3 linked regions of the Xenopus tropicalis genome follow. The main gene of each other region encodes a partner of the protein of the gene in region 3 in a complex. Links are inferred from orthologs where the notes say so. Each region holds a gene or a part of one and is shown on either strand. Other genes may lie near its edges. The genes, in order: kdr, flt4 and vegfc.

Region 1 (3,656 bases), about 7.3 Mb from region 3:
ACTTGTCCAAAAGCCCCACGACCAAGTGGCTTCCCTAGAACAGAAAATATCACATTTAACACAATTTTATTTTTTTGGAGATTTAAAACAGAAACAGAGTTTAAAAAATACAATTCTATTCTGAAATAAGCCAAAAAACTGTATGTAAAGAGTGTGTGTATACAAACAGAACATGATTCAGTAAGATGTATCTGTGAAGAATATTATAAATAATAAAAAACTATTTAACATAACATTTACTTTACATCATTTCAACACAAAATTGCATAATTGACATAAATATTAATGCAACTCAAAAATGCACCTAATTTGAGACGATCTCTCGGGAACTCCCACTTGCTGGCATCATAAGAAAGCCGCTCACACTGTTCCTCTATAGGAACTTCACCAGGGTCCATAATGATTGACAAATAGCCAGCCTTAAGCTCCCCTCCATTGGGCTGAAAAAGAGTAATTTCGGACACATGAGTTGGACATAACATTGTACAACAGGACAGAGTGACTAACTGGAGACCTTCGGAACTGTTATCACTTAAACATACAGTCACCCATGCATCTAAAGCAATGCCCAGTGGTTCATAATTAATGTATTTGACTAATTCATGCAAAGAATCCTCAAGAATCTCTCCAAGGGCAATCACAATTAAACTGAAATGACTTCATACTTAGCAAACCATGCAGAGGTTTTCTGCTATGCAAAGGAAAAAAAGTGTCTGTTGATTTGAGGACAATGAGAATGAGAAACACAATAGCCCCTCAGTCAGATTTCATTTGTCATGCCGGGCAAATACAAATGGCACAGTAGGAAAACAGTTTCATTACCCTCTTTACGGTCCGGAGGATGATTACGAGAAGCACCCAAAAAAACATGGCAATGATTCCGGTGCCAACCAGAATAATGAGCTCCAGATTTGTTTTCTCGTCTGTGCCTATGGAGAGACAATTGAACGTTTGACTGCTCGTGTCACAGCTCACTGTGTTATGGGAACTGTACTTTCTCCAAACATGTTTAATTACCGAAGCCCTTAAAGGGAAGATAAAGGCTTCCCACAACGTTTAGATGTTCTGTAAGAATCCTTAAGAATAAGACATTTAGACACTGTAGTAGCTAATATTTTTCTGTACTGTGTAGGAGCTCCTGCCACATCTGACAGCAGTATCTGAATTAATGTTAAAATCAACCCAGCTGCTGGCCAGTTTCTGTCCTCTCAGCAGCAAGAACCATCGTACACATGATGCCTAGCAGAGATTCTCTCTAAAGCATTATTACACCATCCCTAAACTTTGTGGAAAGCCTTTACTTTCCCTTTATGAAAGCATAGGAAAATGAATGATAAGGTTTTGGTATTTATACTTCTATAAATGACACAGGTATATTTTACATGTTTTCATGAGCGTAGAAATAATATTAAATCATTCTAGAATGACTTCTGTAAATGGACTGTGATAGTTATTCTTAACTTATGGCAGGTATACTCATACAACAGGTATCAGGCGGTATTTGCACTACACCCTGCTAAACAGGTTCTAATGGATGTACTACTGAGCAACTTAGGTCGACGGCACTAAGGGATTTTTGCCCACAAGTGTAGAACAGCATGATGGAGAGGGGGTTTGAACCACTATAGTGAGGTCCCATACAAATGTTTACAAGTCCTTAAACTTTTACAAACTCATTTAGAGTGCAGCTGCAAATAACTGTAAACCTGAATTAGTTTAAAATCTCCAAAAAATCATAAATAGACAATGGGGATATGTGGCAATCTACACTTACCATTTACTGTGAAGTACATTTCTGACTTTGTACATCCCAAGTCATTACAAGCCCTGCAAGAATAGATTCCTTCGTCTTCCTTCCGAACTCTCTGGATAGTCAAAGTCCTATTATGGTCTTTTAAAATAATGCCTAAAATTAATAAAAATGTGATTAACTGTATGGCACAACCTCACTTTGCACAAGAAAGCTGGTCATTTACAAAGATAATACATCAAAACTAAGGATTTCTAATCAACTTTATGGCAGAGTATATAAAATCTATGACCAGGAGAAACTCAGTATAGTTATGCAGTCAGTTCAAGTCCAAATTATACATTTTAACACATTGTATTTATTATTAGACTATCACCTGAGTCTTCTACAAGGCTGTCATCATCCTTAAACCAAATGATTTGCGGATCAGGCGTTCCAGAGGCCTGACATTTCACTACCACCGTTTCACTGACATTTCTAGTTTGGTTTTTCAGGTCCTGGTAGATAAAGGGAACTTTTTGTGCTGTGTATAGATAATACAGGAGAAACATATTAGTTGTTGTTTCATTAACGAAACAGTAGAAATGTTTATTCATTGTTCAGTTTTTATGACAGGCTCTTTTTTAATGTCCCATACCTTGTATTCTTATGTGTCTGATCAAACAATATTTTTTCTGGGTCTTTTTGTCTTGTGCAACACAAACATAGTTTCCTTGTTCACGCATTGATATGTTATGCAGGACCAGGGCCGAGGTCACGTTGTCTCCATTGGTATTTGTAGTTGTGGCATGCATTCTAACCAGGCCAACAAGGTTTTTGCACACTGGTATTGGCCATCCCATATGATGCTTTTCCACTGTGCTGGGACTAAGCTTGAACCACATGACATTCCCATAAGTAAACTTGTCAGCTGTGCATATTAATGTTATGTTGTCCCGCTCAGTGAGCTTGCTGTTCGGCTGCATGTCAATTTCTAGGCCTCCTAAAAAAATAAGTCAATTATTTTTTGTTATATAGATTTGCTTACTTATACTGCAGTTTAAAACCTAAGAACAAATATCAGGTAAGCCTAGATATAGAAAGCAGTAGTGTCAAAGCTGCAAGTCTTTGTAATAGACAACCTTAGCACATGCAGGTACCTTGTGGTTGGCTTAGGATGCTGAGATTTTAGAAGGGTTTGCTACATTTCTATTAAAGATCTTTGTAGGCCACCACGGAACATTTATGCAACAAAAGTCAAAGATGATGTAGTTTATCTACAATGAAAGTCACATGCTATCTTTATCCACTGCAAGATTTACTCTGCCCATTATACCCAAACTTACTGGTAACATGGAAAGAGATCACATGCTCATCCTCTCCTGCTTGGTTTGTGGCTGAGCATCGGTACAGAGAAGATACTCTGGCTGAGTGAATGACCAGTTTACTCACAGTCTGATAAAACAAAAGAATCATCCCATAAAGCATCCACTATTATTATTCAAACCTCTTAAAAGACATACAAACAGGTTCAACCTACCTATCAAGTCACTAGAGGTTAGCTAGGCAATCCTCTAAACAGGCCGCTAACATAGCACTCCAAGTTGCCATAAGTAGATGCTACTGATGTCTGTGGTGAGTGACCAAGCTCATACAAGGAATATTATAGTCCCACTATATATATATATATATATATATATATATATATATATATATATATATATATAAAATCTACTTCAAACAGTACTTGATTGTGTGAACACAGCATTCATTAGGGCTGATTCACTAAAGTGTGTTAATTTTTATCGCACGCTTTTTTGCGTTAAAATAGACGCGAAAATTAACGCGTGATTCACTATAGTATTACCACGTGTGTTAAGTCGCACATCGCATGTGGTCAATTTCGCGCTACCGCATGCGTTAATTT
Region 2 (3,656 bases), on a different chromosome or scaffold from region 3:
TACCATATGGAGAGTAACATTGAGGTCTGGAATTGACACGAGGCATGGCACTCTAGTTTTCTCCTTATATACCAGCAATGCCCCAAGAGTGTTTATAAATGGCTGCTCCCAGTCTAAAGACACAATGAAAATATGTAGGTCGGAAAAGCTAGAAAGTTTATACTATCCCCCCAAAATTTAGAAAGTTATTTCTATCCCCACAAAAAAGCATTCCAGTTTTAGAGAGTTGTTGCTGGCAGATGTGAAAACAGACAACTAACTGCACATGGAGGGTTAAATAGATCAGAGACAGCAGGGCAAGAAGTCAGCGTGGGTTTGGAAAATTGCAATACTAGAGGGCTTATTTATCAGTTTGTTGAATTTGTGAATTTGAATTTGTTTGTTTTTTTTTAAATCAAATAAACTCACATATCAAATTCTCGCTCATTTATTAATGAGGAAAACTTGTTCCAGTAAAAAAAACCCGAATATCATTGACGTCAATAGAAACTTTGAAGCTTTTAGAATTTTTACATTTGAGTTTTTGAGTTTTTTGCACTTAATAAAAACCAGACAAGTTTTTGAAACATAATTCGAATTCGTGTTTTTTAAGTGCAAAATCGTCAAAAAAAAAAATCAAACTAGATAAAACCTAGATAAATATTCCCCTTGCCGTGGGTGAAGGAGCACTGAGGGGCACAAAAACAAGCCCCTTAGTGCTCATTCTTAAAGCACACATAAAAGGGGCATATCAGCACTGAAGGCAGATGAAACACAGCTCTATTCTTCCACTGCCATGGGAAGGTAGGTAGAAAAATAGTCCATAACTTGTGCATCTGAATGCAAGTTAAGGAGCAGACAGGGGCCTCCCCCCACCTGCTCCTTATGAATAGAGCACTGAAGAATGCAGGTAACAATGTATTCATGGGAAAGGTGCAGGGCAGGGTGACTCTGCAAAAAGCATGTGATGTTGATCGCAAAAAGCAAATTGTAAATGACCCCTCAAATCTCTGGCAGGTAAATTGTTCTTGTGGGCCGATTTGGAAAAACTTGATCTAAGCAATACAAACTGTAGTAATAATAATAATGAAAAGAGCCTGGACTCTTGGCCTGAATGATGCAAAATCCATTTAAATCTAGTTTGAAGAATTTCAATCTTAAATTGTTTATGTTTCAGTTAACATTATGTCCTGAACGACCGGTACAGATATTGTTTATTTTAATGTGCACACCAGTGGCCCAAGGATTTCTTATAATGTAAAGCACATGAACACGAAACCACTGGATGCACTGAGCGCACATGAACCTCTCTAGTTTCTCATTTTCTACGTGACCTCCTTATCCACCAAGAAAAAATTCCAGACATTTTAGAAAAATACAGTATGTAATAAATTCTCAAGAGAATTATATAGTATTAATAAAAGAAATGGGCTTAGCTAATAAACAAAACTGTTCTGTCTTTTTGCTGGGTTTTCCCTAAAAGTTAAGAAAATTCTGGTTGTCCTTCTTCTGCAGTACATGAAAAACTATATCCACATATACAGTAAGATGAGGGGGACCTGCGGGTGTGGAGGGACAAGGGTCTGAACTAGGGGTATGTTAAAGCGGTACATGCCTAGCGCCACCAACAGTTGCACACTAGGTACATTCCTCTTCTGTCTACCCCTAGTTCTGGCCAGTGTTGGACTGGCCTACCAGGATACCAGGAAAACTCCCGGTGGGCCCAAGTGTCAGTGGGCCCTCTTGCTTCTATCTATTTAGCCCTATTTCTGTATGCGAACAAGGAAGCTTGATAGATGGAAGAAGAGAGGATAGTATGTAGAGAAAAGAGACTCGGAGAATAAAGAGTTTGAAGGAGTAGAGGAGCAATTAAAGTTTTGAGAGTGGGCCCTTTGCCCAGGGTTTTCTATTGGGCCCCTGCCATCTCAGTCCGACACTGGTTCTGGCCCTGGCTGTCAAAATGAAAGATCAATAGAAGAGGGGAGCATTAGTAAAAATCAATCAAAATAGCAATAACATTGTAGCTTCACAATAGATTAGACTGGGCTAAATTGCACCTGGGTTGTAACTCACGACAATCAATCAGGCGATTTCTTTCAGCGTTTAACCTGCAGCTGAATGAAAAATCCAATCACCGATTGGTTGCTATGTGTTACTGCTTAGGTGTAAATTTGCCCATTGTTTATAAATGAGCTCCACTTGTGTTTCCAGTTGCAAGCAAGACAGGAATGCAGAAAGTTCAAAAACATACATGAAGATCAACTAAAAACGTACTGAAATCTGTAACAAACATTTAATCCTCTTAAAGAGATACTATATGCTACACATGCAGAACTTTGCTCATCATGGGGAAATGCTGACATAGTTTAATGATATTTTTATTATAGGATATGAGCACAGTTAAAGGAATACTACTGCAGCATTATATAGAGATCCATCAATGGTCATTTTATAACTGACCACAGCACAATTTCAGCAGATCATGTCCTCTCTACTGTTTTGAATGCAGGAAGGCTGGGGTAGGGCAAAGGGAAGGTCATAGTTATCCTTCCCAACAGTGGTAGCTTATATGAAGCTAAAACTTTACTTATAAAGGGGATGTTCACCTTACAACAACAGTCTGAATTTGAACAGCCCCATCAGAAAAAACTGATTATGATAAATCATCTTTATTATTTATTAGTCTTAGTCTAAGAAATCCCTTACAGAGAGAGCAAAACAGAGAGTGTTTTAGCAGCAGTGATCTGACAGGGGCACTATTGCCTGAAGATAAACATCCATTTAAGTGCAGACCTGTGCTTGGGACTCCTAAAAGGCCATGTAAGTATCCTATAGTGGTTTGTAACCCCAGAGTTTCTGCGGCCCTGATTACAGCATAGATATCTTGCATCTTAAAATAGGATCCTTACTATTGAGGCAAGGCATTCAGCCATAGAACCTGAGTGCAACACAGTAGTGGGTGATGGATGAATAAGCAGTGTAACAAGCAGAGTAATAAAACTGAATTATATTTTAAAGTACTTAGAACTTGGTTCATAAATTAACCACTTCCCCCATCTTTTGATATTTTTCCAGCCATAAATGTTATCTTTCAAAAAAGGATTTTAATAATTATTTTCATGAGAATAAAGATTCTAGAACACATCTTCTTAGTAGCTAGTAGAAAATATAGCTGTAGTTCACAGTAGTGGGGGTCTTCATACATTAAAATATCAGATCTTTTCTCTGGCACATTTCTTTCTCTTCCACATAACAGAACTTTATTGAAATATACTGTTTTTGTCCACCTACCTCTTACAAAGACATGGACGCTGGCAGCTGTGGTCCCTTTGATCCTGACGTTGATAAATTTGTAGTGGCACCAGTAAGAGCCTGTGTCGTTAGCCCTAGCTCCTGTCAGCCTGAACACCTTGCAGTAAGGTTTGCTAGGAATCCCCTCACAGTCTTCCTCAGCCACACTGCGTGTATCACTGAAATTTATAGTCACTTTGGAGTCTTTGTCCTTTGTATCTGTGTCTGTAAAACCCCCTGGCCAAGACCACTGCAGGGGCCTTTGTCCCCTAGAAATCAATAAGCAGACAATTGTATTTGTTAAAATGTAACATAAACATGAAGAACTTGACTACACATACTTTTAATGTTAAGGTATCCATTCTTGACTTTCCCCACCCACACTA
Region 3 (3,656 bases):
ACAGATGAAGACTGTTTTTATTTTAAAGGTAAAGGAACAGCAAAAATGTTAAGCTATTTTGCTATTCTTCTTAGTGCTGAGCTCTAACACCCTTCAGAATTGTTAAGCCTTGTTTATTAATATATTTGATTACTGTTACCACTTGACAAATACATTTTAGGGCAATACTAACTCCAATACAATAGTTAATTAAATATCCAACTTCAATATACCTAACAAGATTCAGAACATATTTCTTTGCAGTGGGTAAGTTGACCTTAGCATAGCCTGACATTTAGCAGAGAGAAGGGAGATGAAAATTTTACAAAGACCATTTCATTTTTCTTTGATCTTCAGTAGGGTGCAAATCCCTGCCAAATGAAGCATATCCTTGTAAAAAAAAAAAAAAAGAATTCTGAATAATTGAGAATGAATTCTGCAATGTGTTGTATGCCCTATAAAGAAGATATGCATATCTATAAAACTTACAGTTTTGCTGACAAAAGTTGAGCTGGTGTTCATACAGTGCAACCCTTCACTGTTACAGCAACCCCCACATCTGTAGACGGATACACACGGGGGTTTAAAGAAGGTGTTTGTTGGTGCTCCAAATTCTTTCCCTACATCCACACATACTTCCCGGGGAATGCACTGAGTTTTTCTCCACTCATTTTCAATACCTGCCAAGGTATAGGGATAAAGAGGGATAAATTGTTATTAGCATGATGACAATAACGATGATAACAGCAAGAAGGAGTTTTTTAATTTGCCTGAATACGGCAAGAATGACCTAAACAGATATCAAACCAAATATAAATACTGTAGTAAGTTGGATATTCAAAATCCCAATTGAAAAGAGTATTTTATAATCAATTACACTTTCAAAAATATTGTCTACAAAAAGAAACTTTTGTCAAGAAATTCAATTTAAAAAAAAAAATTAATTCTTAGAACACTGAGAGACCAGTGTAGAATGGAACTTTTTGCCTTCCATTGCCTTCCGACACCTAGAGCTTCACTTCTGAAAAAGACTGATGTACCGTTGATGACGGTAGAGTTTTTTCTTCTAATTAAATAGAATTTGATCTGTATGATGAGTGGATGTGCCACTTTCACACTTCTCATTAACTTACTTTTCCAGATTTCAGCATTGTAATTATAATGAGCAGCCGCAAATGTAAAACTGTCTTCTCTCCTAGTGTCATATCCTGTGCTGCCTCCTTGTCGTAGCTGGCACTTAAACATTTTCCAGGATTCGGGGTAGAGGAGAGTCATTAGTTCATCCACACTGGACACTGACCTCAGCTGCTCTTCCAGTTCTCTTCCTGGCTGATCCTTTCAAACAAAAAATAAAGACAATTTACCTTCACAACCCCTTCTCTACTTAATAACGATACCAATAAAGATGACATTGTTAATGGCAAATACATTTTACGTTTATGTGGGGAGTAAATCTCAATTACAGGCACTTCATTCTGGTTGCTGCCAGAGAAAGTGTGTGCTTTAGGAAAGAGAACTCCACAAAATTTAGTCTCCCCTGAAAACAACCCAACAAATGGAAACACTTATTATTATTAGTGGTTTGAGGGGGTTAGTATAAAATAAACGTATATGGTTGCTATCTCATTCCGTTATTATTTTGCAGATATGAAACACATATATTGAAAAAAATACATTAAAGGGATTAGGGATGCACTGAATCCACTATTTTCGTTTTCGTTCAAAACCTTCATAAAGAATTCCGAATCTGAATTTACATATGTAGAGAAGAGTGCGTGCAGCGGAAAATTTTCAACTTCTGCGTTTATGTGACAAAAAGTCACATGATTTTAAGAATTCGGTTTGGCCAGGAGCGTGGATTCGCCCAAATCTGAATCCTGCTGAAAAAGGCCAAATCTCGGGTGAATCTCGAACCGAACCCTTGATTTGGTGCATCCCTAAAAAACAGGCTAGAGTCCTGCATGGGTCAAATTTTTTAAAACTGTGATCAAGACCCACAACCTGCATTTTAACCCGCTACCCGCAGAAAACCATTGAGCTGGAAGTGGACTGGGGCATAAAAACAGGGGACAAAAAAGGTGTAAAGGTGTACAACTTGCTATATGTAATACCCGCAATCCAACCCGCAGAGCAGATCTCCTATCCACACCTGTAGGTACCTGACCTCTGCAGGCAACACTATTACACATTACAGTCACAACTTTCTTACAGTATGTAGATTTCATAAAAGGCAGCAGCCAGTATAAAATGTATAAAATACATTTGTATAAATGTATTTTATAGCACCCACAACAGTCCTCTCTGAATAGGAAAAAAATTCCACGTAGGAATAGACTTGTTTCTGAGGTTGCATTATATACTGAAATTATGAAATATATGCAACCCTACACTGGGTACATTTCATGACAATTTACAATGTAATTTGTTTGTTCTAGTCCACTGGTTGGAGTGACTGAGGCAAGATGAAAGCTCTAAAAATAAATAATGCTCTAAAACAGGGCTGTCCAACTGGAGGCCAGCGGGCCGATGTGGCCCTTCAAAGGATTTTTATGGCCCCCAGCCTGCTCAGGTGATCCACAGACTATATTATGTGACATGGTCATTTTCATTGAATTCGACTCTCCAACATGCTGTACAAGATATAACTGGCCCACTACATGTAATTAGTTGGACAGCACTGGTCTAAAACAATAATGACAGGACTCATTTTAGTAATGTAAGTGCAAAGCTTAACACCTAGCACAAAACTGCATGCATATTTAAAAGCTATTCACAAGCTATTAATTATATCCCAGTGGGCAACTTCAAGCTTCCCTTACCATATGTGCCAGAAGAAAAATGTATGGTGTGGGCATCAGGCAGTGAAAGGAGTGTGACCTCTGAACACTTTACCACCAATGTTTTGATGAAAATAAAAAGCTCTGAGCTGGCAGTGAGGGGAAGGGGAGAGCATGTGTTCTGGAATTTAACTACTATAAATAAAAAATGGTTGGACACTGTGGCCCCTACTGAATGGCTACCGATTTATTCTACAGGTATTTGATCTATCATATGGAATTTATTAACCCAAATGCTCTGAAACAAAGCTTTGCCATTCCCCACAGAGGTGAATGTAAACAAAATATGTTATAACAAGATCTCACTTTACTGGTTTCCTCCATTGAATTAGTTTATAAAAGAGAATATATCAAAGAATAAATGCATTTTTACAAATAAGGTATAGTTCCCCCTTAAGCAGGCAGTGTTGCCCACTTAGTTATTAAAAGAGTTTGCATATCAACTTGTGAACTTGTAAAATTCTCAGTCATTTGTTGCATTCAGCATGTAGTTGGTTTCTGGCATGCCTTTTTATGCAGCACTCCCATGTTAAAGTAATTTACAGAAATGATTATGAGAATGACATTGCCTTTTGGAGATCCTTGTCAAGTCATGTATTTCCCTGCACAATGTTCCAGATTTCAACGAAAGATCACAGCGCAGGCTTCCCTATTAAATGTGTTTAATGTGTCTGCATTAAGGCTATTTAAAGCCCTGTGTATAATTGGCAAGAATTTAAACTATGCCAAAAAGAGAAAAAAATGCATTCTGCTGATGAGTGGCCAAAGCTGAGACCTTTCTTGCTATTCTAGCGAACTATGAAATTAGGAGGGTTGTTTGTGCATTCCAGATGTCATTTC

What was found.
Region 1: the proteins of vegfc (region 3) and kdr are in contact, whole or in part, in a crystal structure (PDB 2X1W), measured with the Homo sapiens proteins. The link is inferred for Xenopus tropicalis from reciprocal best matches to the Homo sapiens genes VEGFC and KDR. Residues at the interface, in NP_005420.1 of Homo sapiens: Thr148, Asn149, Phe151, Lys153, Phe186, Ile188, Val190, Pro191, Leu192, Gln194, Pro196; in NP_002244.1 of Homo sapiens: Val135, Tyr137, Ile215, Val216, Val217, Val218, Asn253, Val254, Gly255, Ile256, Asp257, Phe258, Asn274, Arg275, Asp276, Phe288, Leu289, Ser310, Ser311, Gly312.
Region 2: the proteins of vegfc (region 3) and flt4 are in contact, whole or in part, in a crystal structure (PDB 4BSK), measured with the Homo sapiens proteins. The link is inferred for Xenopus tropicalis from reciprocal best matches to the Homo sapiens genes VEGFC and FLT4. Residues at the interface, in NP_005420.1 of Homo sapiens: Leu119, Asp123, Trp126, Gln130, Asn167, Arg210; in NP_891555.2 of Homo sapiens: Gln172, His199, Asp200, Ala201, Leu202, Tyr203.

The regions. Positions count from the first base shown.
Region 1 is NC_030677.2:40,288,272-40,291,927, forward strand, and holds part of kdr (vascular endothelial growth factor receptor 2), read right to left. Parts: intron 3,185-3,656; coding exon 3,076-3,184; intron 2,733-3,075; coding exon 2,388-2,732; intron 2,274-2,387; coding exon 2,127-2,273; intron 1,907-2,126; coding exon 1,775-1,906; intron 930-1,774; coding exon 823-929; intron 441-822; coding exon 305-440; intron 35-304; coding exon 1-34. UniProt on the Homo sapiens protein: Tyrosine-protein kinase that acts as a cell-surface receptor for VEGFA, VEGFC and VEGFD. Plays an essential role in the regulation of angiogenesis, vascular development, vascular permeability, and embryonic hematopoiesis.
Region 2 is NC_030679.2:20,222,875-20,226,530, reverse strand, and holds part of flt4 (vascular endothelial growth factor receptor 3), read right to left. Parts: intron 3,540-3,656; coding exon 3,271-3,539; intron 114-3,270; coding exon 4-113; intron 1-3. UniProt on the Homo sapiens protein: Tyrosine-protein kinase that acts as a cell-surface receptor for VEGFC and VEGFD, and plays an essential role in adult lymphangiogenesis and in the development of the vascular network and the cardiovascular system during embryonic development.
Region 3 is NC_030677.2:47,628,447-47,632,102, reverse strand, and holds part of vegfc (vascular endothelial growth factor C), read right to left. Parts: intron 1,315-3,656; coding exon 1,113-1,314; intron 660-1,112; coding exon 469-659; intron 1-468. UniProt on the Homo sapiens protein: Growth factor active in angiogenesis, and endothelial cell growth, stimulating their proliferation and migration and also has effects on the permeability of blood vessels.